Linked DNA regions of Struthio camelus. The main gene of each other region encodes a partner of the protein of the gene in region 3 in a complex. Links are inferred from orthologs where the notes say so. Each region holds a gene or a part of one and is shown on either strand. Other genes may lie near its edges. The genes, in order: JADE3, KAT7, MEAF6 and BRPF3.

The links.
Region 1: MEAF6 (region 3) and JADE3 share a complex: the UniProt entries of both Homo sapiens proteins name them as parts of the HBO1 complex. The link is inferred for Struthio camelus from reciprocal best matches to the Homo sapiens genes MEAF6 and JADE3.
Region 2: MEAF6 (region 3) and KAT7 share a complex: the UniProt entries of both Homo sapiens proteins name them as parts of the HBO1 complex. The link is inferred for Struthio camelus from reciprocal best matches to the Homo sapiens genes MEAF6 and KAT7.
Region 4: MEAF6 (region 3) and BRPF3 share a complex: the UniProt entries of both Homo sapiens proteins name them as parts of the MOZ/MORF complex. The link is inferred for Struthio camelus from reciprocal best matches to the Homo sapiens genes MEAF6 and BRPF3.

Annotation. Positions count from the first base shown.
Region 1 is NC_090942.1:148,568,480-148,575,809, forward strand, and holds the start of JADE3 (protein Jade-3), read right to left. Parts: upstream 3,016-7,330; 5' UTR 2,876-3,015; intron 2,731-2,875; exon of another isoform or gene 2,601-2,730; intron 2,124-2,600; 5' UTR 2,029-2,123; intron 802-2,028; 5' UTR 725-801; intron 1-724. UniProt on the Homo sapiens protein: Scaffold subunit of some HBO1 complexes, which have a histone H4 acetyltransferase activity.
Region 2 is NC_090966.1:4,989,126-4,996,705, forward strand, and holds the start of KAT7 (histone acetyltransferase KAT7), read right to left. Parts: upstream 3,014-7,580; 5' UTR 2,783-3,013; coding exon 2,768-2,782; intron 1,874-2,767; coding exon 1,726-1,873; intron 419-1,725; coding exon 242-418; intron 70-241; coding exon 1-69. UniProt on the Homo sapiens protein: Catalytic subunit of histone acetyltransferase HBO1 complexes, which specifically mediate acetylation of histone H3 at 'Lys-14' (H3K14ac), thereby regulating various processes, such as gene transcription, protein ubiquitination, immune regulation, stem cell pluripotent and self-renewal maintenance and embryonic development.
Region 3 is NC_090964.1:10,828,212-10,835,324, forward strand, and holds the start of MEAF6 (chromatin modification-related protein MEAF6), read right to left. Parts: upstream 3,018-7,113; 5' UTR 2,988-3,017; coding exon 2,892-2,987; intron 2,798-2,891; coding exon 2,682-2,797; intron 2,601-2,681; coding exon 2,513-2,600; intron 1,805-2,512; coding exon 1,759-1,804; intron 930-1,758; coding exon 737-929; intron 1-736. Other genes in the region: SNIP1 (smad nuclear-interacting protein 1), read right to left, coding at 6,520-6,787.
Region 4 is NC_090965.1:4,942,593-4,950,260, forward strand, and holds the start of BRPF3 (bromodomain and PHD finger-containing protein 3), read right to left. Parts: upstream 3,016-7,668; 5' UTR 1-3,015. Other genes in the region: MAPK13 (mitogen-activated protein kinase 13), read right to left, coding at 3,337-3,416, 3,788-3,964, 5,285-5,363, 5,896-5,975, 6,549-6,620, 6,979-7,093. UniProt on the Homo sapiens protein: Scaffold subunit of various histone acetyltransferase (HAT) complexes, such as the MOZ/MORF and HBO1 complexes, which have a histone H3 acetyltransferase activity.

The DNA.
Region 1 (7,330 bases), on a different chromosome or scaffold from region 3:
GCCTGACATAAGCTACCTTAGCAGACCATGGGGAACATCTTAGGGATATCAATTCCGAACTCAGACTTGAGGCAGCTCGTACAGGGTTTAACTTTGGTTCTCACCACAACGTCTTACAAATCCAGCAGGTTTCACAGCGGCCCTGGACACCTGCTTTCACACCAACCAAGCATTCAAGTCACTACTCAACAAAGCCCACATGCTAGCTGTGGCAAGCTCTTTGGGATAAATGCTCTACAGCAGTCAGCACGTGGTAGCTAGTACACTAACGAGATACTTCTCTGCCTGCGTGTAGGTACATATGTAAAGCTGTACAGGTAAAAACAATACTCAAAAATAGCCAAATAGCCTTTGTGTAGTCTATGAAAACTATGCATATTTTAAAAAATAAAACCAAAAAAAAAAAAAAACAGTCTCTAGTATCCCAACAAAACCAAGATGAAAAACTTCCTGGTTTTCTGTCACTGAAAAGAAGTTCACAGACCCACAGAAAAGAAAAGCTGGAATTATCCTAATATTTCACTGAGATACTGTAACCCAGACTTTTATATTCACAAAGGACTTTCACGATTTTAATGAGATCCCAAATGAACATGCATCCTTGCCAGGAGATACCACTGCATATGCTCTAGCCTCAGCTCTTTAGCAAATCCTTGTGGGTATCTGCTACGTTTATACATCAAAAATAAAATTAGAAAAAACAAAACCAGCTGTGCCAACTGACCCAACTCAGGGGATTTTTTTCTGATGGCGGGGGAGGAAGGGGATGCACGGCAGGCGCACCTGTTCTGTAACAGGAACCTAGAAAGGAGTAAACAGCAAATGAAGGACAGGTAAATAGAAGCAGCTGTAATTATTTTGATGACTTTTACTGTATACAAAGCCTGACCTTCTCAGAAGGGAGCTTTTTTTCTGCTCCTCTTTGGCATTAAAAACAGAGCATGTCATGTCTAGTCTGGAAGGAGGTCAGAAGTTCACGTAAAAAATACTTCAGATCTAAGCACTAACTGGCTGTAATTTGAAAAAGCACTTTCTTAACTGAAGAGGCTTTAAAAATCGCATTTGCTCCCTCCAATACACACAGCAATGTTTTTCTGCTGTCCTGTTAAGAGACTTCGTGGCACACTTGAAAGTTATGCCAACGTACATGCAGGCCTCCCTTGCTAAAGCCATCTGCATCTTGCATTTTCAGGTTAACTCCGCGATTGCTCAGATATGCTCTCACTTTGTATAGATTAGCAGGTGTACTTGAAGTGCTCTATGGAATAGCCCACAACAAACAGCAAGGTGATGTAAGAAGTTGGTGGCAGACAAAACATCTCACACGCACCAAGACAAAATATAGTTCCCTAATCTTTCAGTTTTAGTGTAATGACTCTCTTATGTTAACAGAGGTACAACAGCTTTCAAGTTTCTAGCCTATTTTAATCACAGGGTTTCCAATCAAAACTGTATGCTGTCTCCTGCATCCCATTCTCCTGAACGCAAAAAAAAAAAAAAGGCTTTAAAATACAGCGCTAATTTAGCAGAATTTCTTTACTACATTTCAAGAATATAGTCACTTAAGAAAACAATTTGTCAACAACAGTTCAACTTTTCAAATAATTAAAAATGCTTTTCATGAAATAACGGCAGTTTAAAAGGGGGGGGGGGGGGGAAAGGCGTTTATTCTTCCCATTGAGATGCATTTTAAAACATACCCAACGACTTGATGCTCTCCCATCGCTCACCAAAGAATTATTTCTAAGTGCTAATCTCGCTACACTCCCAGCCGCTAATCGTACTGGCTGTTGCGCATACACAAAACGAAACCACCCTTTTACAGAAAGTCCTTTACATTAAAGCAAATGCCATCTGAGGGAGGATCCTGAAAGGTTTCATTTATAGAAACAAAAGCAAGAGCGCGGACCTTCCGCTCTCTAACCCTAAAAACCAAGCGCAGCGTTTGGGCGCTAGCCATGCCCCACCGCGCGAGGATTAAAAAAAAAAAAATGTAATCAAATAAAAAAAAATAAAAATCCAACTTACCTTCACCACAGCGTACTGAGCATCAGGCTATTAAGACAAAAACATCGCGCTAGCATCTTGTTGCCAAACTCAATTCTAGCAAGTTCCTCGAGGTACTGGTTTAAAAAAAAAAAAAAAAAAAGGGGTGATGGGATTTTTTCATTTATTTTTTTAATTGCGGGGTGGGGGGGGGAAGCGGAAAAACGCATCCGTGCCTGCTGGCAGCGATGCGCGGCGAAGGCCGGTCACGGCCGCGTTAGCGCCGGCCCCCGCCGCAGACGGGCGCACGACGGAGCCCCAGAGCGGCGGCGGCGGCTCCGCGCGGGACGCGGCCGCTCCTCGCCCCCCTCCCCTCCCCGCCCCGACACGCTCCTTCGAGGCGAAGCAGACTCCTGCGGACGCCAACGAGCCTTCACATCGCCTCGCTGCTGCAGACAAAAGGGCATTTCACCACGGGCTGCCTCCCGCCCGCCCCGGCCCGTGGGGCGACACCCCCCCCCCCACCAACTCCGCCGCAACTTTTCCCTCCGGCCGCGGCAGCGCCGCCCGCCCTCCCCCTCCTCCTCCCCCTCCCCACGGCCGCCCCCACATACCCGGGCCTCACACCCGCGACGCCGGCCGGCTGCAGCCGCAGCACCCGCCGACCGCCGCCTCCTCCCCCCCCCCCACGCTGCTACTTCCTCCTCCTCCTCCTCCTCCTCGGCCTTGGCGCCAAACGCCGCCGCCCGCGTCCCGCCCGCCGCAGGCCCGGCGCCTCCCCGCGCACAGGCCCCGGCTCGGCTCGGCGGCCCGGCCCGGCCCGACCCGGCGCGGCCCTGCGCCCGCCCCCCGCCCCGCCTCCATGCGGGCAGCCCGGGCCCGCGCTCACCTCTCGCCGGCCGGGCCCGCTCGGCCGCGCCGCGGCCTCCCCTGCTCGCCGGCGTGGGCGGCCGCAGCCGTCAGGGCTGGCGCTCCCGCCGCCGCGGCAGCAGCAACAGCAGCAGCGGCGGCGGCGGCGGCTGCTGCCCCGCACCGGCGCGCATCGCCTCCGCCCGCCCGCCCGCGGCGGCGGCCCCCGCCCTGCGTGTGCCGGCTCCTCGGCGCGCCCCGCCGCCGCCGCCACCGCTCCCGCAGCCAGGCCCCGGCCCCCACTCCTCCTCCTCCTCCGGCGGCGGCGGCGCCCGCACAAGAGCCCTATTGTAGCATTGACACCGCTGCGCTCCAGGCTCCGCCTCTTCCCCTTCCCTCCCTGCCCGCGCCGGGCCCTTCCTGCCAGCTGCGCCCACAGGGGCTGCCAGGCCCGGCCCGGGCCGCCGCCGCCCGGCCCCTCCTCCTCCTCCACCCTGAGGGGCGGCGGGGGGCACCCGGCGGCTCTGCCCGCTGCTCGCAGGGGTCTACAGCGGGTGAGGGGCTGATGCGGCGCCCGAGGGGCGGATGAAAGGTCAACGGCCTTGGCCCCGCGCCTCTCAAACTACCGGGTGCGCGGCCACCCGAGCGGGCCCGGCTGGCTACGCGGGGACTCGGGCGGCACGCGGCGCCATGCGCCCGCCGCCTTCCGGCAGCTTCTCTGGCGCCCGCCCGCGCCCCGTCGGAGGCGGCGTTAGGGACGTTTTAACTCAAGTTGCGCACGGCTGAACAACGTTACCACCGTAAAGCCTGCCTTCGAGCAGCTTTTGGCAGCGGCTGATAGATTTTAGCCGTTTGACCCGTAACGGAGTTCCCCATTGAGACGACAATTGGTAGAAAGCGCAGACAGCAGCGTTGGGCATAAAGGAAACAACAGCAAAAAACGAAAAAAAAAAAAGGCAAACCTCCCCTGATACTAGACTCCACACGCATTTCCCCTACTAGCACTAAGTATCAGTGGTGTCAAATACATTGTAAACTCCTCGTGACCGCTGTAAAAAAAGGTCTCCCGTCCCACACGCAGTAACACCGAGGCACGGAAAGGCTCACTTCACACTAAGCCACACGGAAACTTTCTTAGAGAGGGAAATCACATCTGGTCTCTCAACCAGATACAGCCCAGAGCCAAGTTTCTTCTTTCTAGGCCAGGCACTGAGAAGGAAAGGTAAGGCTATGGTAAGGACAATGAAGAAGGAACAAAGAGATGAGCAATGATAGTTTGGCATGCCTGAGCTGCACTTTCACAGTGTTGGCAGGCAACGGCCAAAAGAAGAGGTGACATAGGTCGTAACCAAGGAGCACCATTTCAGGCCAAACGGTCCATCCAGCCTGCTAAACCTCTCTCTAGCTCTACTGAGTCCTGGGCCTCCTCATCAACTTCCTCCTGGCCCAAACGGGCATCCACAGAAAGATACTTCCCCCATATACTCTGCAAGCCTCCAACTACTTTTAGCTGAGGAGATTTCCCAAGCGCGATGTGGTTTGTCTGTTTAGTAACTCTCAATAGATCACTTCTCCAGTACTTGCCCAAGTAAGCTTTGACTGAACCTGCGTTAGCTGAATGTAAAACCTTCTGATTGTAAAACACTGCTGGCAAGGAGTCCTGTGCATCTAGTACCTGCTGCATAAAAAAAACCCCACTCTTTCTTTGGTTAATATTCCTTTATGTAATACTAAAAGGTAGCTTTCTACAAACACAGACAGCAACGCAACAGTGACACGGACATGTATGGTTTTCTGCATGCACCAGTGATCACCTCATTTGCCTTCTGTTCATTAATATATACTTGCCAGGAAAACACTCTGTGCCTCTGAGCAGCTTCAGAAAGCCGCAACGTCAAGTAAAGATGTCAAGAACACTCCTTCTGCCCCCAGACACGCTTGTGGAATCTTCTATATCAAATTGGATGGTCTAGACAGTAGGGCAGGCAATGCTAACTCTTAGACAAGAGGTTTAAAGTCCAGAACGCAGAAAATTCAAAATGAAATAAAACCAAGTCTGTGCAGTATAGACAAGCTGTTTTCTAGTCATAAAAGGAATTTTAAATCTGATTGAGTTACCCTTAACACAAACGATGTGGAAGTATATTTTAATATATTAATTTATATTTTTAAATGATTTTTTGTTTCTGTGTCCACAAAACCTGCACAGTGGAGTATATAGTGTTTATCAGTCATTCTGAAGAACAACGAAGAATGCATATTCCCATCAGTAAAATAAGCATTCCTATGAGAAGTTTTCTTTCAGATTATTTCATATATGAATGACTTTATCAGGACCAGATGCAGCCCAACCCAGGAAAAGGTGTTGTGCAGCTGTCTTCATTTCACATGCCTGGGATCACACCTCCCTCCCCTTCACTGGCTGTCACGTATCAAGGGATAGAGGGGACGACATTACAACCTGCACTTCTACCATAAATCCGCATCTGTACATGCTAAGGGCTGAAAGATATGCGACACGGAAAAAATGGTGGCACAGAGTCAGTAGGGCTACTAATTTCAATAAACGCTTTTATATGCAAATAAATTTTTCATTATCTGATCCCATGTTAATTCTAGCAAACTATTTATGATTTGATAAGAATTTACACAGAATTACATTTACATTCTTTATGTGTGTTCTATAAGAAAACGTAGCAAGATGAAAAATAAGATGCAGACTATATATTGTTCTTCTCTTTAAAAGACACATGCAACACAGTTTCCACATTTTCTTATGAAAGGATGAACTACAGATGCTCCTATGCACCTAGAGAATAGGCGGTATTTGCAAAGCCAGATGTTAACATGCTGATAAAATATAGCACAAACACAAAGTCCTCCCAAGGGAGGAATGCTCTGGAAACTAGAAATACAAGAGAAATAAATGGTCACAACGAAATAATGCATACATGTATACTATAAGCAGGTTGAACTAAGTCATTATTCAGCTGTACAAAAGCTAGGGGCTGCACATAGTCTATTAAAATATTAAGGAAGTTACACTGAAGTAATGTTTAACATCTGAGAGGTAGGGTCACTCAGAGTTTAACCCAAAGTGGAGCTGCAAAAAAAGCATCTATAATTGAAATAGCTAGAAGCATTTTCAGTGAATTTCAACAGAAAACTATTTTTTCTACCAAATCTGCTACCTCTGGTCAGATGCCAGGGATGTAAAACAGGCAACAAACAAGTTGTAGAATCATGGAGGGGTACACTGGGGGGAAGGAAGAACTGGAAAGGTTTGGTGGTGGTGGTGGGGGGGGAGATCCAATTCATACCTCTCCGTCCAAGTCTTTGCAGCATTCCCAGCCAGCATGTGGAAGCCTCCAAGGGCCGCAATTCTGCTCATCTCTGGTAAGAAAAGAAATACACAGATACCAAAGCCTGGCATACCTTTTTTCTTTGAAACCTGTAAAGGCTGCATAAAAGTTGGATCGCTGGTAGATCACAGGCCATTGATGAAGCCTCGATACAACATCCCCCAAATCAGGCCAAGCATTGACAGCCACTGGCAAGAGACAGAAAAGCATAACTCCCTTATTTTCCTTTCACAATGAACAAAATCATTGAAGTGCTATAGTAAAGCACAAACGCCCACCTGCAAACAAAAGAGCTAATTATTGCTGTGGAGTAACTTTCATTCTTCTGGGGGGGGCGGGAAGTAGAACCTCATCTAAGGCTCACTAGCTGTCTCAAAACCCTCCTGTGATGAAAAGTATTTCTTTCTAAAATGCACTATTACAAATAGAAGCAAAGACCACTCAGATTTTCAAAAGATTATCTTTACTTCCAACACTGAACCCAATCCTTTAGCACCTGTTGGGGTAGCTATCAGAAGAGGCCCTCAGGTCATAGCACAGCCCCTCCACTTAAGCTGCAGAACCTTTACCAAAAAAAAAAAAATTTTTTTAAAGCAGGGACTTCAGAAATCAGGGGAAAGGTCTCCTCTCTTAAGAAGGTCAGCACATTCAGAAAGGGGAGGGGAAAAAAAAAAAGGCACCTTCTACAATAATGAAGCATTTACTCTCTTCAGAGCAAAATGAGTGTGCCAGCTTCACTTTCCAGGATCTGACAAGTTCAAAGTTTTACGCTTAGGCAGAACTTTTATTTATCTTTCTCCTTCTAAGATAGTAACAGAGAATGGAGAGAACTGCCAGCAGCTTTTAACAGGTCTCAGTGTTACGGGCCTATATCTTTACTTAAACACACACAAGTAAGTGCCTAACACAAAAGAAACAAAGAATACCTCTTATGCTTGTATTAGTGAGGAAACAAATTGTATCTCTTACCTAAAAAAAATTGGAAAGTTAGCTGCCTCTATGTTGCCTTATATACAGACTCAGGGAAACTCTCTATGGCAGTTAGCATCCATGTTAAAAAACAAAAAACAAAAAAAAAATCAAGACTGACGCTCCCTGGAGTGTTCAGATATCACAAGTTAGCTGCTTCTCCA
Region 2 (7,580 bases), on a different chromosome or scaffold from region 3:
CGGAGGAAGGGGCATTCCCAGTAGGGGTGCGAGGTGGAGACTCATCATGATCAGCTGCATTTTTAGTGTCTGAATAAGGATCAAGATGTTACAAATTTACATGGAAGAAAGCTCTCAGAAAAATAAGTAAAGCAACTCCTGAGTATCCTCAGGGTACTGTATTGTGCCCTCAGAGAATAAGTCATACGCTCTTTCCCACTGCATTTTGCAAAATCCCAAAGCCTCACTGCACCCCACATACCTCTATCCGAAAAGTCAACCACTTGCTCAGTTTCTGACCCAGACGATCGGGTTTGCCGGAGCGGGTATTTCTTTGGAGTCACAGGAGCGGGCTGCTGTTGGCTGCGAGTTACTCTCCTTGTAGAATAGACAGGCTCTTCTGCTCCAAACGATGGTGGATTACGAACTGGGCTGGAATCTAATTCAACAGAGACACCATAATCACACATACAACAACCACTGTAAGTAACTTAACTCAAGCGTGCTCTGAAGTCTCCGATATCAACATGCGATAGCTGGATATCAACAAACAGTTCTGTCCTCCCACATCTCACCATTGCATGTTATCACAAGGATCTGCTCTATTCTTCTGAGGTTAAATCTTTGACACTATAACCAATACCGAGCAATCTGGGACTAGATCAACTTTCTCTGGACTTATTTACGTAACTAGTAATTACAAAACAGCTCCCATCGGAAAAGCTAAAGAATCATTAGTTTAAATAAGAACTCTTAGTTTTAGGCAACCCTTGGGAAAATCAAGGCTGCTTCTGGTATGGAACTATATTCGGAACCCTCTGTGTGGTTTGGGCATCCTATCCGGCTTAAAAGGCTACAAAACTGACCATCTTACAGGAAAGTGATACTTTTGCTCCCTAGGAAAATCACAGGCATCCCATGCACTGATGCAAATCACATTTCCTTTTGTTTTTCAAGACATAACCATCAGATGATTATGCACGCATACTTCTTACCTGCAAGGAAATTTGTCACAAAACAGGTTCTTTGTCAAAGAGTATAAACAGAACAAGGTAAAGAACTTAATATCCACTGTCATTTCCTCCTCTGGATGCCAGATGGCATTTCATTTCCTGTTATTAACTACCAGTGAAACAGCTAAACTAAAACTAAAAACGACCAGGTAGAAAGACTCAACATATCCTCTTACAATCTGAAGCCAAAGTAGATGTATACAAAATAACTGCCAATATGTTGATTACTTTTACTGCAGAATAGCCTCAAAAAGTCATGAAAGTTTACCTTCCCTTGCGGCAGAGAAAACCCAAAACAAACAAACAAAGCAAACAAAACCAACTTTCACTCCTGAACACCCTCTCTGTATTGACACCATGTGACTACTCTGGTACCTAAGTAAATAACTAGACGGAAAGTAAAATTTTAGAGGTCTCAGAAAAATTAGTCAAAGCTGGCAGCAGAATCAAGGCTTTTAATTCCCCTTTCATTCAATAGGCAGGCAACTTTACTTTTTAAGCAGAAGATATTAGATTCTTGAGTTTCACCACCAATTTAGTCTTTAGATTATATCATCTCATTTGCGCAAAGTGCGCTTACATGAGATTGTTCTTTTCCTTGGTACCGCAATACCCACCAACAAAAAATAAAATAATTTTATTTAGGTGTAAACTCAACACGTTCTAAAGGTCAGGAAGACAGAGTACATCCAGCCTCCTGCCACTTAGGCGTTTAGGAAAATAAAGCATTCACCTTGAGAGCTCTGACTAAGTCTGGCTGAGGAACGGGTCACACGGGCAGATCGCCGCGACGTGCCATCGCTTTCGGAGCTGTCTGTATGTTCAGGATCAGTGGAGAAATCAGAGTCTTCTGTTCCATCTGAGCTGCTGCCGGCATTCCTCTGCAACACCACAGAGCCGGGCATTAGCACGACAGCACCTCAACCTGCATACCGTGCTTAGGCTATACAGAGAGGATATTTGATTCCTGACAGGTAATTCCAAGCTCACAATGACATACTGGAATAAATAAGCGCCAGGTGTTCTACCCTGGAGAAAAATCTCCTCTGAGGTTACCTCAGAGCCGCCGCCGCCGCCTCAGGGGAGGGAGCGAGGCCGCCCCGCGCGCCCCGTGGCGCGAGCGCAGCCCCGCGCCGCTTTGTTTTGCGCCCAGCCGAGACGCGCCGGCCCCGGCCAATCACAAGCCGCGTGGGAGGGGCCGAATGCGGGAGCCCGCCAATGGCACCTGGCAGAGCGAAGGGGCGTGGCCACCACTGCGTGACTGACGGCGGCCGCCAGCCTATCCGGGGGAGCCTCGCTCCTACAGAAACATCCACCCCGCGGGGGAGGGGGCGGGAGTGGGATGGGGGAAGGGAAAGAGGGAGAAACAAGGCACGCGCGGGGAGGTGACCGTTGGGGGCGTAGATGGGCAGCTGCGGCGACCAATCAGAGGCCAGCCCGGCGGGCAAGTAAAGCCAATCCGCGGCCAGCTCTCCAAATAGCCGCCCAATCGGAAAAGCCGAGGGGCAGGACGCACTGCAGGCGGGGGGGAGGGGAAACGGCAACCGTTGGGGGCGATGAGTGATGAGCAATGGCGGCCAATCAGCGCCCAGCAGGCCCCTGCGGGAGCCACTCAGGGAGCAAGCGGGGCGGGCGCTGGGGGGTGAAGGCCGCTATTTTCCCCCAGATTTTGCCCCCGCGAGAGGCAGCTCAGGGGGACAGAGAAGGCGGGAGGCCGTAGCCCGAGCTTGCCGCCCTCCCGCCGGCAGCCTCCGCGCTCCCCCGGCCTCGCTCACCTTCCTGCGCGGCATCCTCGGCGGGGGCGGGGGCAGCGAGGCGGGTTGGTCCCCAGCGCCCCCGGCCCGCGAAGCGGCAGCCGCCGCCGTGTTAGCGCCGGCGGGCTCCGTGGTGACAGCCGTGTCTCCTCTTCTCCGGCACGTCTGCTCCGGCGGCGCCAGCCCGCTCCCTCCGCCGCCAGCGGTCCCTGTTCCCTGCTCGGTCCCTCACGCTTCCGCCGGGACACGGTCCACACCCCCCGTCACGTGACCCGGAGCCAGCCTCACGCCAGCGGGGGCTGCCATCTTGGATTCGGACAGGTATCCTGGCGGTTCCGCCGACAGTGAAGCTGCCGGCGGCCATCTTGGGTCCGGGCGGCGGAATCTGCACAGGGGTGAGGCGGCGGCCATCTTGGGTCCGGGTGTGAAGCCAGCTGGCTTCCCCGCGGCGCCCGGAGACCGGCGCGGGTGTTTTCCCGAGGAAGCCATGTTGGATACGGGCAAGCCGAGCCCTCCCGCCGTGGCCATGTTGAGGCCTGGCAGAGAGGCGCCGTCGGGTGCATGGAGTGACTGGGTGGAGGAAGGCGGTGAGTCCCCATCGCTCTCGCGGCGGAGGCGGGGTGTGCGGAGACCTTCCTGCCGGGGGGGTGCCGCTGCTGCCCGGCGTGGGGCCTGCTGGAGGGAGAGGCCTTTCCTGGGCCCTGCCTCCTCGCTGGCCTGGGGGGGGGCCCGAGCGGCCTTGCAGCAAGGCCCCTTGCCGGGCCTGCAGGCCGGCCTGGCCGAGTGCTGCTGTTTCCTTAGTTGTGGTTAGGCCAACACCTGGTTAGACATAGCCTCTCGGTAACGCTGAGGCCGTAACACTGCCAGAGAGTGACAAAGTGCTGCTTTATTTAAAGGACTTGGGGGGGAAATAAGGGTGTTTAGTCAAACGCATGATTTCTTTGCAGTTGTGGTTATTTCTAAGGATTAGGACATTCTTAAGGTCTAATCTTATAATTTTTGCGAGTGCATGTCATTCTTAGTCATGCAAGTAATAGTCTTTCTTTCATTCCAAACTGCTGTTGCTCCTAGGTGTATTGGTCTCCTGTGTAATGCTGAAAGGCGAACTTACTGAAGAGCTCGAAGTGGAATACCTCTGCTTTTTGCCCTGGCAGAGAGGGATGGGAAGCAGCAGTGTGGTATGTTAAGTGGGGCTGCACGTACTGGTTGCAAATCACCATGCATGTCATAATTGCACACATGAAGCGCAGGAAAACTGTGGATGGGGGAACAGTTCATGAGTAAGTCTGGTTATTTTAATGGCCCAATTGCTAATCTATTCATGAGATGATTGCAGGAAAAAAAACCCACTTTTTGGCTTTCTGCTTTTTCCCAGGCTACACCTGCCTGCTATAGCATAATTATGACTCTGGTTTTAAAGGGGAAAAAGACTTGTTAACAAAACTAGCAGCTTTTCTCCTCTTTCTGTTTCCTCAATCCCCTCTTCCTCCTCACATAATGGAAACCCTGTTCCCAATTTACAAAGAACTCCATGCACATCAGCATGGCTACATTGGAGGACAGCGTTCTTAGCCCAGGATGTGAAGGAAGGATTCTTGCTTTAGGGGGAGGAGCTGGAATAAGATTGCAAAATTTTCATGCCTTACAAGAAAAATAGCATTTAAGATCTGGATAAGATTTCCCATTTACCTGGGATTCAATGGAACTTCAAATTGCAGTTGAGACAGTGTCTTATACTAGGCTAATGAGCATTATATTTTCAAGTTACTAGAGTGCCTTGAAACTTTTAGTTTATGATTAATTTGGGAAAACATTCTGCAGGAAAAAAATGAGCTAAAGCTATAGCTCCAAAGGGCAGTGGAAATGGGAGCAGAGAAGAGCAGTGTATTACGCCTTAATGGAAGGGGAGGAGTTAGTCTGAACACTTCATAATTGCTCATCTACCATATTTTCATGAGACAAAGCTGAGGCCTTGCAAAAGAGTGACTGTTTCTCTCAAACCGATGAAGGACTGTAATGGAAATGTTGTGGGGCAGTCAGGAGAAACGAAAAAGACTTAAAAGGACTTATAAATTGCACCTTCATCTTTTATCTCTTCTTGCATTAAGTAGAATCTGCCTGTGGTACAAAGACTGATAGTTAGCTTAAAAGCTCATTTAACATAGATAGCTGCAGAGTCCGAATGTGTTAAATTCCCTTGCACCTTTGTGTGGATAAAAAGGAGCAAAGAATATAATGGCCATGTAAAAAGTTGCACGTTACCATATCCCATTGCAGTGTTTGCCTATCAGTGGTAGCTGAAGGATTCCTCTTTTAAAACTATACCTCATATGAAAGCTATAGCTCTTAATTGTATCAGATGCACCAAGTATTAATTAGAACTTCTAAGTGTTAATTTATTTTAAACATTAACTTCATTATGTTTATGTTATTGCATATTAGCAGGATTTATCATCATCACCATCACCACCACCACCACCAACAGGATGTTATTGGGAAAAACAAAGCAGGCAAATTGAAGTGGGTGGTGTTCAGTAACTTTCCTAGAGGTAGCAATACTTGAATAGAAGCCAGTTCCCCATGTTCTCTAGTCAACTCCTGGCATTTAAACTGGCAATACAAACTTTAAATCCTCTGTGCCGTTTGTACGATGAATGGACATAGCAAAGGGGAAGGAAGGAAAACTAAAACAGTACCTAGTGTGTGTAGATGGATGTGGGTAATGAGAAGATGGCCTGTGTTAGCTGAGCTGTCTCACTCTCAAGAAGAGCAAAGGATCAGATCATGTTATGACAGGTATATACATACAGAAGGGTTCTTGCAAGCTCTACAGCTGTCTCTAGTACTAAACTACAGGGATATAAAGTCTCGGGTGATTACTAGAGAAGTCATTGCTATTGCATTTCGGTTCAAAATCCAACCCCAAATTAGGAGGCTTCTGGCAAAAATAAACATTTGTTTCTCTTCCTGAATTTGTATGTGGAGGATAAGTACAGCCCTTGACCATGTCCCAGTCATTGGTATTGCAGAAGTTTCATCACTCGCATTTGTTGGAGCCTAAACTGTAGATCTGTTCTGCAGCAAAACATAAATGGATGTGAAATTTGAGAGGCCGCATGCTTACAGGTGCCTGCCTCGTTGGCTTCACCACTAGATGTCAGTGCTTGAAACCACTTCACCATGAGCAAGCCAGTGAAGTCAGGAGTCAGCCTGGAAACAGACCAAGTGGATTCCTCAGGGTGCAAAATTAGTAAAATTCCTGCCTACAAGGATCTTGGCTGGAGGTAAATTCCCATAATCAGGTTCTTGAGACAGACTTGCAGTCTCTCAACTGTGTCAGAATTTTCCAGGTAGGACCTAGAATGAGGAATTTCCTGATGTCACATCAGAAGAAAGTTCAGCAATTGCTTGATGACTTAAATTGTTGAACACAGTGATTTTCTTCCCCTCCTTTGAATTTTTGAACTCTAGAATCTTGAAGGTATGTTGTTGGTAAATTCCCACAGATGCCAGCTGAGTAGCTACCTGAAATCTCTTGGCCCTGACAGTCCCCCTAAATCTCAATAAAGCTCTCTAGGTGTTGGATCCAATTAAAATTCATTGGAACTTAGGCTTATGTACATTTGCTATCCTTAATTTAAAAAATAAAAACTCTTGCTGCATCTTAGCAAATATAGACAACAAAAAGGGAATTTCCACCAAAAAAAAAATCCATAAACCGAGAGGCACCAGTTGGTAGAAATTACATTTAAAACTTTGATCTTGGTACCCACTTGTTTTGGAGATGCAGCGCCGAGTGATCTGTCTGTCTTGATTTAGCCATCGCTCATGTTGATGAGAATATAAAGTAGGCTTATACAGGAATTGTTATGAAGCAGAATAAATACTAGTAAAGTACTTCAGGATTATCACTGTGTGATAAACACGTCAGGAAAGTTAGCGTTCATTTTGTTAGTTGCTTTGTGTGTTGTTTCTTACGATACATTCCTACAGGGTTACTTTACCCGCTTAAGCGTGTTCAAGTGAAGTGGGAGAAATGTGCTATAATGAAAATCTACCATAAAAAAAAAGTGAAATGCTATACTCCAACAAATCTTGCTTGTTTTTTAGGTATCATCAGTCCACCCAGTAGACTGAAGAAAGGCTAGCCTAATGATTGAGTGCTACAAATATCCAGAGCATTGCTATGTATATGGGAGGACCCAGGACTGCTGTTTTTCCTACTTTCACATCCTCTGAGGGTGAGTAGAGGTGGTTTCTGTGTGCTTTGAGTTGCAGTTTAATGTTTTAAACTGTCTGTTTTCTAGGTGTGGTAGGTCTGGGCAGTGGAGCAGCACCACAGAAGCTCTTGGCTGGAGCATGTAAAGCTTGAAGAATTCCTGGGCCTGGTTTGATGCATCTTAAAGGCCTTTATTGATGTGGGTCCCTGTCTCTCACAGATGCCCTTTTGCTGTAGAATAACTGAGGCCTTGCCGCTGCCTGCTGGATTACTTTTGGACAGGGCCTCGAGCAACCTGATCTAAGTTGGCCCTGCTTTGAGCAGGGGTTGGAACCTAAATTACTCTGACTGTTGGTAGCTCAGAAGCTTGAACTTGATTCTTGATTGGATTAAAATGCAAACAAGCTAAATAGCAATGTGTATATGCAAATGGTAGACGTTTTGAGAGACTGAATCTAAATTTGGTAGATTTGCTGCTGAAGCTGGACTAAGCTTGACCTTAGGTACTTTTGAACCCTAACTTCTGATTACAGCTGCAGAGGCCAGCTCTCAAGCGGGCCTTGGTATGTTTCAGAAGCAAACCCTACAGGAACAAATATATTCCATCCAGACAAT
Region 3 (7,113 bases):
TATAGAAATTCTTGAGCAAGCTCTTACTGTGGGGTGCTGAGGCATGGTAAGAAGCAGGGTATGTTAGCCCAGAGAGAATACCACTGTAAAACAGATTATTTCTGATGCCCAAGCCATCAGCCTGCTAGGCTGTACCACGCCGTACAGGCATACCTTAAGGTTTGTGACAAACAAAGCAACTCTCATAAGCTAAAGGGAAAGAGACTCAGTTAGGGACAACAAACAGAAAGGGTTTGGAGTGAAAATCTCAGTGAAAATGTGGGGCTGTCCATAATGCCCCAAACATTCCGATTTGCTTTTTCACCTCCTTCCCCGAAAAGCGTAGTGATATTCCTCTCTTACTGAGTTGTGCAGAAACCAACAAGCTACAGGAAGCTACAACTATTATCTTCCTCTATAGAAAGGGAAAACAGTTTTATTCTCCTTGATAGGTAGGAGAATTGAAAAGGCCCAGTCACAAGTGCAGCTGTATCGGAGCTGGAATTAGTAGCCTATGCAGACAGCTTGTTTTAGCTACTTTAGCATGCCTTCCCCTCCTTGATTGCGATGGGAGCAATGGGATCCTGATGAATACTACAGGATGCATGCAACTTAATAACAAAAGAAATTACCACAACAAAGAGGTGCCCTGAGCTGCTCGTTACTTTAGCAAATTACTAGCTCCTTTCCGTAGTAAGGTCAATTCAACAACTAGCCACTCACAAGGCATGACAAGAAGGCTGCTGGTACCACTAACCTGTGTCGATTTTTGTTCTTCCTTTTTTTGTGGCTGCTGTGGTGGCTCCCAGAGGAAGTAGAGGAAGCAGCTTTCTGGGGTTTCACCCCCTGCACAGATCCATCCAGCTCTTCAGCATCCTCCTGGTTAGGCTCATTCTCTTGATTGTGGAAGTCTGGAGAAGTGTCACTTTCTGTCCCACTGCCTGGCTCCCCTAGAGCATGACAAACACAGAGGAGCACAATGGTTACTTCCCCGCAGCGCACATCCCAGGCCTGGAGAGTCCCTGAACCCACAGGGAGCCCTGAGCAAACGGAGCAACCCCCAACAAAGGTGCATAGGGCACCAAGGGCATGCTGAGCCATACAACACCAAGCTACCTCCTTAGCGACTGAGGCACACTAGAATTGCATCTGATTTGATATCAACTACAAACATGTCTTTTAGAAACCTGAGCATAAGTGGCTAATAACCTCAAAGCACTAGGGAAAAAACTATGAGAACTAAAGTTTTAAGTTCTAAGCACTGGAAACCCAGCACTGCTATCTGACCAGCACATAATGGTTTCAGAGTTGCACTCAGAGCAAGACTGACTCAGGAGAGAGCTAAACAGAGCTCGCAACAGATTGTAGAATATCTGAACGTGGAGCACTCAACTTTGCCCATAATCACTTACAACTTACTGAAAGATATACAAACAAAAAATGCATTCCTTTAGCTCCTCCAGACTCTTTCTCCAAAGAGCACCAAGTGTATTTAAATAAACTTTATACACAATGAATCCTTGAAACATATACTAAAGATAAAAGCTTACTCAAGAAAGGCAGCTCAGCTTTACTTGTAATGTTTCTCATACGGCCACTTTCTTGACTTTTATAGTTAGAGAATGTGTTGGGAGTACTCTGAAGCTCGCCTAAGAGGACCAGATGTTGGTCCCCAAAAGGGGAGTGCTCTAATGGAATGGCAAGTTCACAGTGGATCCAGAAGAAGTTTAATTCTTTCCAAGTTAGTTGTGTTCAGAGAGAAATGAAGAAGTGACTTACGCTTCTCAATGAGCTGGTCTTGAACTCCAGCTAACGCACTGACCGCCTAGAAAATCAAAAGGGACTTAATGAAAGCAGCAATTCACTTGTTTTCAAACCAAAAAAGGGGAAGTCACCTCACAGAGAAGACAGACCACACCTTTGCTTCAAAGAACTTACAACCTAGCACCAACACGGTGCAACAGAAATGAGAGTTAGGAGCAAAAAGAAAGAGACAAAGCGGACAGCAGTGACAGAAGTGTAAGGTAGAGGGGTTTCTTGACTGTGGTTACCTTTCACCTCTCCAGGCACTAGGAAAAAGTTTTCTGAAAAAGACTGCAACACAGAAGTTAAGATGCTGGGGAAGGGAAGAGATAAAAACACGCACAGCAGCTTAAATAGGAAACCTGCATGGTAGCAGCTGCTGCATCCCCCATGATACCCTCTACAGTACAGAGATCATCCCGATATTAAGTGGAGGGACGGGACCGGCCGCACTGGGCTTTGCTCCTGGTCGAACCACCACCAAGCTGAGCAAACGCCAGGCAGCTTGGGGCAGCAAGGCCGGGCGGTTCCTGCCTGGGGGCTGGCGAGACGGGGGGCTCCTTCGGGGCAGCAAGGCCGGGCGGCGGAGACCCTCTCGGGGCAGCACAGCCAGGCGGTTCCCCCCGGGCCGCGGCGGCCACCGAGCCCAGGCCGCTCCCACCCAGGGGCCTCAGCGGTAGCGGTGGCGGCGGCGGGCAGGAAGGGGCCCGCGATGCGGCGCGGCACTCACCGCCGCCGAGGTGACCGAGGACTTGCTGAAGAGCCGCTCGGCCTCCTTGAACTTGCGGTTCCTCCGGTCGTTTTTGCTGTTGGAGTTTCTGCAAGAGAGAGCGCGGCAGTGGCATGGCAGGGGCCCGGCGGGCAGGGCGGGCGGGCGGGCCGGCCGGGCCCACACTCACTTCTGGTTGGTGAGGTAGCGGTCCCAGCCGCGGATGATGTTCCCGTACATCTGCGTGTCCTCCAGGTAGCTGCCCTCGAAGGCGTAGATCTGCCGCTCCAGGTTGGCCAGCGTCTCCTGCCGGGCACAAGCACAAGCGGTGAGCGGGCCCGGCCCCGCCGCCCCCCCCCGCCGCCGCCGCCGCCGCCGCCGCCCCGGCCGCCCCGCTCACCGCCAGCTCCTGCTTGCGCTTCACCAGCTCGGCCAGCTCGCGGCGGGTGTCGGGGATCTGCGGGGGGCCGCCGGCCTTGGCGTGAAGCGCGGCCATGGCGGCGGCGGCCTGCGCAGGGCGGGCGGGCGGCGGCGGCGGCTGCGCTGCCGCACCGGGCCGCCGGGGGCAGCGCTGAGGCCCGGCCCGCGGCGCCGACGCCGACACCGACTCGGACACCGGCGCCGCCCGCGCGGCCCGGCCCGCACCGGCCCGGAACGGAAGGGAGCGGAACGGCGCCCCCGCGCCCGCGCGGCCCGGCCCGGTCCGGCCGGAACACCGCCCCCCGCCCCGGAACGGAACGGCCCGGAACGCCGCGCCCGCGCGGCGCGGAGCGACCCGGAAGGGAACGGGGCCGGACGGGCCCGGCCCACAGCGCCGCCCGCGGAGCCCCACGGCCCGGCCCGGCCCGTTCCCCCCGGACTCCTCAGGGTAAAACCCCGCGAAACGGGAGTTGGCGCCGTTTGACGCCACCCAAGCCCGGGCCGCAACGGGGAACCGCGGACCAGAGGGCAGCTGCCGCCAGCGAGCTCCCGCAGACGAAGGTGTGGCTCCATCCAGTGAAAACTAGCCCTGTAGCACCTGAACGAGCACTTCAACGACAGCAGCCGCGGACCGGCGTGAAGCAGAACGCCGGGCGGCACCGGCAACCACGGACCAACGCCCCGGTTAGAGCGCGGCCAGCTCGCAGCTCGCCGCAGGGCCGAGGAAGCGGGGAAGCGACTCCCAGATCCTCCTGCTTGGTCTACGACGAGGCCCCGGCTTGGTGTCCGCACGTCAGCCCTGCGTCCCTCAGTAGCCTTTGAGTATCTCGGGACCTAACAGCAGGACACGTTACACTGACAGTGAGGCAATAAACCGTAACACCCTTAGTTCGTGTTGCATCGTTTTTGGAAGCAGGTTACTGTGGTCTTCATCAGCACTCGGCGCTGGGGTACTGCACGTCCTTGAATTCCACCAGAAGCAGCCTGTTTTCCCTAGCATCAGGCAAATAATAAAAACAGTACAGCAAAATCAAGATCATAATTGTGCTATTGTACAGAATAGGTTTGAAATGATTAATTCACAAAATAGGTACAGCAGATTGTAGTAGTCACTTCCATTTTTCCAGCCCACGGACTGAACAGGAAACAGCTTGAAAGTAGCTAAGACCATTTCCTAAGAGGGTCACAGTTCAGCAACACAGCTAGGAGGAGTATACAAACTGAACAAATCTGAAAGTCTCATTCGGGTAAGACAGTGTTTTGTCACCCCTTTACATCACGGCTATACGTACTTCACCTCTGTGCCTCCCCTTTGTGAAAAAATAACCCATTGAGAACAGGTCATTTTAACACTTACTGAAATTGCTCCGCACGCTTCAAACGCTTTTTTTGTCTAATTTGATCAACCCTTTTTTTAAAGCTAGGCTCAAGCCTCTTAGTTACATTAGTCTAAATTGTATGACTTATATGCTCTGAAATAAACGGGACGCTATGCACTAGTTTGCCCCTTTTGCGATACTGATCAGATTTGGCTTAAACCACACACATATTTCATACTTCTGAGGTGAACATGTCTGCATGCAAGAGCATGTGACCTGAGCACTGCACTAAGCCACCAAGGGGAGACTCAGGTTCACAGAGGTCTGAATAAAGCAGCATGGTGCAAGCCTGCTCCACCTGCCCCTCCAAACTCACAGCATCTGCAGCACACAGACCACACAACCTTTTTTTTTTTTTTTTTATTTCTTTGGTGTCCTTAAAAACCAAATACAAGTACTTTGATAACATGCACTATAGTACAAGAGACACACAAGCACCAGAAGCTGTGATGCCTTCTGGGGCTGCAGGAAAAAGTGAGAGGTGTTGCCTAGTTTGTGGGGTGAAGGGGTACTCGGGACTGGATTACACACGGTGCATCAGTCTGAATTTAAAAGCAAACACATGCACCACAATTTCCAAGTGTACAGACAAAGAATCTGCCACTGAGGCAGTTACAGTAATGTCATTTGTAAGGTAACAGATGTCATTATGTCTGCTTAGTCCTGCTTTTACTAAAGGGTAATACTTCAGTAACAAGTTCAATGAATTACTGTAGATAGAAGAATTCTTGTGAAATCTATTTCAACTGCTGAACCTTTTTGCTGACCATAAGAACTGCAATAATTTATACCTTCAATACCAGCATCTCTCCCTCATCTTTGTGAGTTTCTCCGAAAAAATATAGTGCATCTATGTCAGATAATATAGAGGGAGAAAGGGACACTAGAAAAATATTACAACTAAAATTAATTAGGGCTAAATTTACAAATTCTTTATTTAAAAACCCCTAGAGTATATATAAAGGAGATCCTCCTAGTCAAAACACATTCTTCTACCAGCTGTTTGAAAACCCTACATTAATGTCCCATATTTACACCATAAACGTTTCAGCCTGTGTATACAATATGTAACATATGTATACACAAAGTATATACACAGCATGTATGAATAGCATGTGTGACCACAGAACAAACATCTAGGCAAAGTTAGTAAACAAAGTGAAAAATGTTACATTTCTTTTATCATAAAACCAAGCACAGGAAGGAGATATCCAAAAATATGCAAAATGTAAGTATTTTCATTAAGTAGAATTTTCTTCCCCCTCCTAAAGCAACTTTTCTTTTATGGGAAAAAACAAGAATACTTCAAACAAATGACAGTATAATTTTATATAAAGAAAACTTAAATAGTGCAAACTGTTGAAAACATGTAATCACATAACAGGTATCTACATGTAATAGAAACAAGGAGAAGTTATTTACGGGGCTGTGGTGTTATCAAAAAAAAAAAAAAAAAAAAAAAAAAAAGAAGAAGGACCCAGCTTTAGAACCAGATACCCAACATCCAATAAAAATTTCAGTATCTAGTTTCAACATATACTGGGCATATACTGACTTAGACCTCAAGCCCCATAACCTAAAGTCCCAGGAAGCATTTCCTTTCATTTACAACTATACTACCTGTAGATTACAAGGTATTCTGGTAAAATGCCCATCCCTGAAAAGTTATTACAATGCAAACTTAACTACCCAAAACATACAAATACAAGAGGGGCTTTGCAACATTTCTGCCTCTTTAGTAATGAAACTTGGTAAATTCTCCTGTCTAGATTTCTTAACAGGCATACAAATTCGGCAAATCCTACCAAATAAGACAAAATATATCAGCTAGTTTCTACCTTATTTTTCAGTTAAGTAGCATTTTCAAAGGATTATGACAAAACAGTTCATAAAAATAATTTTAAATATGCCCACTGTGTTTTACATCATTTACTAGAAGGGGATAGCCTTCCAACATCTGTTGAATATTTCCAGCACCACAGCTTTCACATCCAGGTGCTCTTTTTTCTTTGTCAGGGGAAATTAGCTTAGAAAAAGCTGAATTTCCTGATAAGCAGAACTATCCAAGATGATTAAGTCCCCAAAATAAGCTACAAGAACAGACCAGCAACAGAAGAAGGACTTTAAGGCAATAAGAGGCATCAGTGCTTCGATGCGCCAATGTTTACATCCCAATGCACGTTCTACTGCAAAGATTTTTTTTCACCCCCCCAATTTCCTCCTGATCTGTTAACTGTCAGACTCTTCCTCCTTCTCGTCCTCCTCCTCATCATCGTCCTTTGTGTTTGCCTCAGATTTATCTGAAGATTCATGGAGAAGAACATATTCCCTGCTACTGAACCCAAATTTCAACACATCCTTTTCTTTCAGTTCATAGTAACGTTGAGGTTCAATCCGCTGGTTATTTAGAAAAGTACCATTGCCAGAACCAAGGTCAATTATATAAGGCCTTACTCTGCGGCCAACTGTACCATCAGCACGGGTGTACTCCACAAGCCTGGCAAAACAAAAAGCACTATTTCAATCATAACAAGACAGACACAAAATTCCCATTTATGCAGCCACTCTAGAAGTAGATGGAGTTTTCAAAACGTTCTGTATTTTCAAAAATTTAAGCAAGCATAATGAGTGTAAGGAGGCACTCGGGATGAGATTCTGAAAGACTGCATCACCTTCTAAAACTTATGGTGATATAATACAGTAATTTGTAACACCGAACAGATGGCTGTTCCTTGAGAGCAGCTCTGTCTTCAGCAGCATACAATCCTTGCTGCTTCAAAAGGATAGCAGCAATCTTGGTTGCAAAATATTTTTACCGCTAAT
Region 4 (7,668 bases), on a different chromosome or scaffold from region 3:
GGGCTAGCAACTATTCTGAGAAGTACATAGCATAAATTGCAACAAAGACAGCCAGGAAATACAACGTCACCTTGTCCAATTCACAGGGAAGACCAGAGCTCAGAAAATTCCATTAATGTTGCAATTTTCCCTTATTTGAGGTAGATTTCCAGTAGAACTGGAAATCACAGACCAAGAAGAAAAACTACAGAGACGAGTACTGAAAAAATACATCCTGCCTAAACCAAACCAAAATGACTCAGCAGCTTTTGAGGCTGCTACCGAAGAGGTGAAGAGTTGAGAAATATTGCATATATAATCGAGCTCTCATATACTTTCTCAACAAATGCTTTTACATAGCCATGGAGACTGTGTGCCCTGACATCTTGCATGGAGACAACAGTTGTCTCTTGGCACATGCACCTTGGGGTGGACTTTGGAATCGCTGACTGCATCAGCCTGATCGCAATACGGCAGATGCCAGCTAAGAAGATATTTATGCTGCAATCCAAAGGTGTTATCACAGCTAACATAAACATACTTGCTTAGCTTTGAACTATCTAGTCACTCTATCAATAAGCAGCGGATCTGCAGAAATACCAGATTCAGCACAGGCTGCAAAACTTTCTGAGGATCCTGCGTAAATATTCAAGCTAGCCTGTGCTGAGCTCCTTGCTACTTTACAGATTGCGCTATTAACGCCAAGCTGGCTAGCTTAAAGCTAGTTCCGATATGCTTGCATGAGCTGCAATCATATTTCTAGATTGCACAGTAGATCTGCGCCTAGTCATCAATGCAAAGGACAGGGCTTAGAAAGCGATGGTAGTAATTCAGAGTAGTTATGTGTAGTTTTTGCTGTCAACTGCAGGCAGAATATACTGGCAAGAGATCTTAAGCGCTGGGCAGCACCAGAGCCACTGTGTACAGCATGTTGGTAACCAAGCAGCTCTAATGATAGCATCTGCAATGGTAGAGACAAACTGTAGGTCTAAAACAGATCTATAGTCATGTACAGACTGTAATCTGACAGACCTCCATATGCCACTGCCAGTGAGCCTTACGCTTGATGTCTTCAAGAACACCTCTGTAAAAGGGACTGATGGCATAATTCTGTGCTCCTATGCAGACGCTTTCAGAGCATAAGAGACATTAAAACCAAATGAATCACTGCTCTATTATTATTTGGGCCTTCCTCTGCAATAACATTAATATGTAGGAACGTGTAACCTATCCAGAGGTTCATTACAGTCCATTCAAGAAAACTAACAATTCCCATTGCTGCAGGTAGAGGCCTTATTAGACAACCACTCCTTACAAATGGCTACGCACTTGCAACCTGCTCAGAATATAGCTAGCAGATAATGATGGGTTTTTTTGGTAACGTACATCTGTAAACTTTGGTTTAATAATTAGCGTTTCCAGGACTGTGATTATTAACCAAAGTGGTGTTTAAAGGAATATGTGACATGTTGGGGGGAGTCCTAATACATATTTAAAGATTTTTTTCGTGAGGGTGAAGCTTATTCATTCATATTTCAAGCAGGAATAAATAAAGGATTGTCAGAGAAAAATCTATTCCGTAGCACTGCAGAGAGGCCATAAATAGCCCTAAAGACCCTACTGTATTTAGGAAGCTCTAGCAATTAACTACTTAATATATTAACAATAAGAACTTCAAAGCGTAGAGGAGAGAAGGGAAAAATTCTCAAAAAATTCTATCAAATGTCCTAGTTTCACAAATGAGACAGGATCATGACATCACCTCAGATACCTGTGGTCAAGACAGAGCAGTTACGTTGCTTTAGAATAAGCCATGCAAGCACATATGGGATGTATTTTGAAAGGACTAATGAGAATTAGTGTCTACAAGATCATCCAGTCATATTAGAAAGAGGGCTGTCACAGCAAGCAAGGGACTTAAATAACAAAGGTATCAGACTTTGAGAAGTCAAGTGACTCCAAGTTAGTTTCAAAAACTTGCTCTCCCATATTTGCTTTCTTAAGGCATCTCGTTTGGGGATAAGCTACACTTAGTTGATGAAGTACAAGTGTTTAGATGCTTATCTGAGATCTAAATCACCAAGGTAAGAACCTACATACACAGTTGTAATAACATTGCAGTTACTCTCAGATCCCATTTACGTACTTTTTTCTTGTAATTGTTTTTCATCTCTCTATAAACAACTTTTATGCTTTTTTCTCCAATATATGAATTTTTTTTATTACTTACTTGGGGAGCATAGCCCTAAGACTGACATTTGACTATTGACATATTTCCAAATACTCAGTTTAAATGGCCCTTCATATTGAGGAATGAACAGCCCTTTAAGACAACAGAAGCAGAGAATCCCTCAAAGTGGAGGGAATGAGAATATAAGGGGTCACATCACTGGGCTGCATGACAAAATACCACACCTGCTGAGTGATAAAGGCAGCCTGTAGCAGGCAGGCAGGGGTAATTCCAGGCCGAGGATGCTCAGTGAGAGATAAGCACAACTGAGAAAGAACCGTAGGAGAAACCAGGCTGATGATAAAAAAAGAGGCCCTGGTAAGGGCGGGCAGGACTGTCTGCATTATAACCCAGCTCCTTGGGATTACAGGTCTATAAATGTACAAAAGTGGACGTGAACTCCCAGGTTATGTTTGCTAGCAATAAGGAGGAGAAGGCACTGATCAAAATCCAGAGATGGGAGAAACAGAGCAAAAAAGAAGAGCTAACGGCTGTCCAAAAGTGGAGGCACCTTAGTAGGGAGTTTTGTCTACAGCAAGTGGCCAAGTCAGAAGTTTAGAGCCTCTCCGAGTGTAGACCAATTCCAAGAAAGATTAAATTCTGACGGTATCCTGGGAGCCTAAGTCACCACAGCAACCTCACTGTGCTGGATGCAGTTTGTCTGCTAAGAGAAAGGGGATGGCATCTAAGCTAGGTTGGATAGTCTCGTTATGCTTAATTTCACTATTTCGGATTATTTTGCTTGGCCCTCACTTCCCGATTTTACCTTTTTCTTCACCTTATCCATAATTAACATACAAAAGCTTGTTCCTGGAAAGAGCAATAGGAAAGAAACAATGACATCTCTGATCTCTCAAGTGGATGAATATGTAAACAAAGAAACACCAGGTAAAATTCTCCCATTTGGAGTTTCAATAAGAGTATATTTATCTTTAGTATGGAAAACTATTTGGGTTGCATCCCCCTTTTTAGAACAAAGTCCAACGCCCACAGCATGGTGTCATCCCCGTGCTCACATACACGGAAGTCCCACAGGCCAAGTGATGGTTAAGAGCAAGGCAGTGTAGTGTAAATCCCATCTATAATCCAGCACAAGAAACGAATCCCAGTCACAGCTGCTTCAGTTGCTATAATGACATTCCACTTCGCTTCTTTGAGTCCTTCCGTGCAATTGGACTGAAGGACAAGATCTCCTTGTAAATATGCTCTTGAAAAATAGAACAAAATAATCGTGAATATCACTAGCATATTACTGCTGTTCGATTTTAGAGGAAAAAATGAAACTTTGATCATTATTCAGCTGAAAGGATGTGACAAGCGTAAGCTGGGAGGAAGAGAGACAAAACAGAGGCAAAAAAAGTGTCTGGAGAGAGACAGGCAGAAGGGATCTTAGCTGAATGCATAAAGACAAGAGTAAGGAAAGGGAGACGCACACTGTTTATCGCTGAGGCATTAACAAGCAATAGTAGTGAAGTCAGCCTTACTCAGCACGTGCACAGGAAACAGAAAAAGGGTCAGGAAAGCCCATGCTAGACAGGGACAGGACGATGGGAACTTCAAAGAAGACAAACTTCTTACTTCTCCACTCATCTATTGAAAGTTTTTCATGTTCTAGAGAATCATCATAGGACTGCTGTGCTTCTGTCTCCTCCTCAACATCTCGAAACTGATCAAAATAGGGGTGGGCCAAAGCCTCCGTGGCTGTAAGACGCTTCTCCACATCTAACTGCAACATCTTGTCAAGCAGATCCACTGCTGTAGGAGGAGACAGGAACATTGCTAAGCAGGTTAAATGGAGAACAGCTATCCTGCGCATGAATCCCGAAAGCGATAGCCCCAGTGATTCTAGTACTACTGTTTCCAGACCTGAAAATGAAACAGACTCCTCAATCGGGCCAAAGGAGCGTGGAGCTCCCCATCAGTCCGGATGCAAAATCCACCAAACAGCACCCTCGAGTAGCTCTTAGCTAACAGAAGTCTAGTTCTGACTAAAGTGGTAAAACAGGCAGAAAAAACAGCTTAATCTTGAATAGGCCTTGCTGCATGGATGGAGCTGCAAGAACATAAACAGCAAGCCAGTAACTTCAAGATAGATATTTTCAATTTCAATAATTTGCTTTCACTCTGACCCCTGTTACTCAAAGCAGTCTTAACATGAGTAATCTATAAAGAAATCTATACCTCCCTGGTAAACAGGAAGGCAGGAAACTCAGATACTAACCAGTCTGTCAGCCCTTTTCCCCCTTGGTTTTAACAGCTTAATGCTTTCTTCCTCTCAGCTTTTAGAAGAGTTTTTCTCACCCACCTCTATAAGCTATCTAGGGAAAGAGTTACTTGTAGGAGATCAATTTTTCCCCTGAAAATCGCACACTTCAGTTGCCTGTTAAATATCAAAAGGTACAGGTGTTTAACACACAGTTATGAGCTAAGCTGTACTCTTCCCACAAGACAAAAAAAAGAATACTTGAATGGACTATGGAAATTTTTGGCTCTTTACAAAAACTTATGATGCCTTGGATTCGGGGCTGGGAAATAATAATGAAAAAGAAGAGCTGGTTTGTTCATTTGAATGCTACTAATGGCAATATCACCTGCTTGGCTACAAACAACAAGCTTGGAAACCAGTCTTAGTCAAAATTCATCCTAACTCATACGAAACAGAGCTGAAAGTGTTTTAAGATTACATGCAACTTTCCTAGTCCCATAATTTGCACCCTGCAACCTAGACATCCTGTTATACATCACGTGCTCTCTTCTGGCTGGTTGATGCACGCATCAAAAGTTTACCTTTTCCTAAAATACTGCCATGTCATTTAAAAATAATAAAGGAAATGGCCAAGAATAGCAGAACATTGCTGCTGTAGCGCTGTTGTATCTCCTACAAGATAAAGAATTATTTTGCTTTTAGCTTACACACATTTGCCCTGGGAAGGGCTAGCCCTCTGCAGGAGTATAATCCGCAAGGAAGGAAGTAGCATGAAGTAATGAGAAAGAGAAACAAAACTGCAGCTGGGGCATTCAGCCTACATTATTTCCAGCAGTAAAAATGTGTGAGAAATACTGAAGATGGCTTACCCTGAGGATTGGCTTTGGGGAACAGCACAGACAGATCCTTCTTGGGAATTTTTGGAAGGGACTTGATATAACTTTTAGCCTAAAAGAAATAGGAAAGCACAGCACACACATTTACTGCAACTGGACAAGTGCAAGGGGGGGTATATAATAGAGCTTTTGGTTTAGGCCTAGATGAGCAATGGAGAAAGAAAAGAACAGCAAATTATCCTAGATGTCACACTTCAGTGACCAGCTTGTGAGGAACTATTTTTATCAGTTCTTTGAGATACAGAAATACTCCCATCTAGAAAATGGCCAGATTGAAGAACAAAGGAGGGAGATGCTTTGCTGAGCCATGAAGCATCTTACCTAGGCATCTTAACTTCCAGTCCCTACAATCACCCCCGTTCTCAAGGCAATACATTAAACATTAAGGACAAATACATCAGATGTGCCGCTAATAAAGAGAAACGTCTTCCTCAGCAGGAGGGAAAGATTCTCTCTCTCTCCTGTTCCAATGACTGATTTAAAAGCAACATCCCTCCCATCTCAAAGAAGCTGTAAAGTCAATCCCTCTCCACCATGCCTCTGGCAGCAAGGCCCTGAATAATAGCCACAGTGAGCTTTCTTACCGCTTTGTCTTCCAGCTTCTCCACGAAATCTTCTCCTGGATACCCCGTTACTTTCAGGATCTGAGTCAGCTGATCTAGGTCTGGCATGCTGCATTAAAGATTATCCATCTAGGAGCAAGCCCCAGACCCCACCCCGTAGCTCAATTCTTTGTGCAGGAAGGCCTGAGGACCTCTGAGAGCTATGAGCGTGTTATGATAGGAACCCCATAGAGATACACAAGCAGAAACTCACTATACTGGCAAAAAGAACTCAAAGACAGCTTCTCTTCCTGAGACGCAATCTGTCCACAAAAGGACTCCTTTGCTGGCACACCTTCATCAGCAGAGAATTTTGCTGGCACAACTCTGCTGGGGAATATGCCCATAGGTTTCGGGATCTCCCCATGCAAGGGTTTGGGGATGAAGCTGTGGCTATGCAAGGTTAGCTACTTGATGTAAGGTGCATGTAGCCAGCACAGAGATCTATTTCTAGGGGTGGCTTGGCCCTTCCACTATTTCCCTCACTAAGAAGACCCCACTAGTCCCCTGTGACTACCTCTTGGTACACCAGACCTATACCCTTTCTCTCAGTAGCTTCATATTCATAAAAGCACTTTCACATGTGCCAAGAATTCACCGCCCCCCCAGGAAACAGGTTCAGTTTGAAAGGATACAATCTTTTCCTTTAAACAGCGTTTTCCCGGTCAGCATTTCTGCCATGATACAGCCAATAGACCAGATATCCACTGTTCAGGGAGAAACAGGAAAAAAAGAATGACACAAGCTTGAAGAAAGAAATGATTGCTGGGGGCTGTCTCCTGCCTTTTCAGTCTGCAGAAGGCACTGATTTCAATTTCACTCTCATTTTCCACCCTCCGCTGTTCTTTCTATGCTACTACAATCCCTGCCTTCATCTTTTCCCACAAGCACTAACTTTGGGAGTAGTCCAGCTGGGGCTGCGTCAGCCCAGTTCTGCTCTAGGAGAGACATTGATGATAAAGAACAAAAACATCTGGAAGATTACATGAGATTTGACCCAGGCATGACAGGGGGATCTTTCAGCTTGCCACCAGACAGTCACACAGCTGAAGCAATGCAACTCACCTGTCTGGTTGTAATGCATCCAGTTCAGAATGACTTCTGGTGCTCTGTACCAGCGTGTAACCACATAGCCTGTCATTTCAGCATCCGCATGTCTCGCCAAGCCGAAGTCTAAAATCTGCAGGTCACCAAAGGAAAAGGGAGAAGGAAGGGCAGGAAAGAAAAGAGAAATCCTACAGGCAAGTGAGAATCTACTTCTATGAGGAAATGAAACAGATCCAATCAGATAATAATAAAGTTCTTACTATACCAGAGCCACCCACAGGATGGTTCAAAGAACTAACAGGTTTGCCTTAATTCCACTGTAAATTGCAAGCAGGCTGCAAAACCAGTTGTCGTGTGAAGACCCTGAGGAAAGGGATCCGTGTTGTGCGCTACTTGGAATGTCACTTCCTATCTTGAAACTTAAGTTTAAACTCTGAGTTTTTAAATTGAGCTCTTCTATAACCTGGAGGCCTAGGTACGCTCCCAGGCCAACACGACTCACCATATTCTACAAAAACACCCTGCAGCTGACAGGGGATGACCTCTCCCACGATACTGAAAATGAACGTGGGTATGACCCAACCTCTACAGACAACAGAGCCACTCCCTGTTACATACGTGACAGAATGTTTGCTAGACCATCACGCCACAGAGCTGTAAGCAATTCCTTTACAGCAACGCTGAAAATAACTTTGTTTAGAATCACAA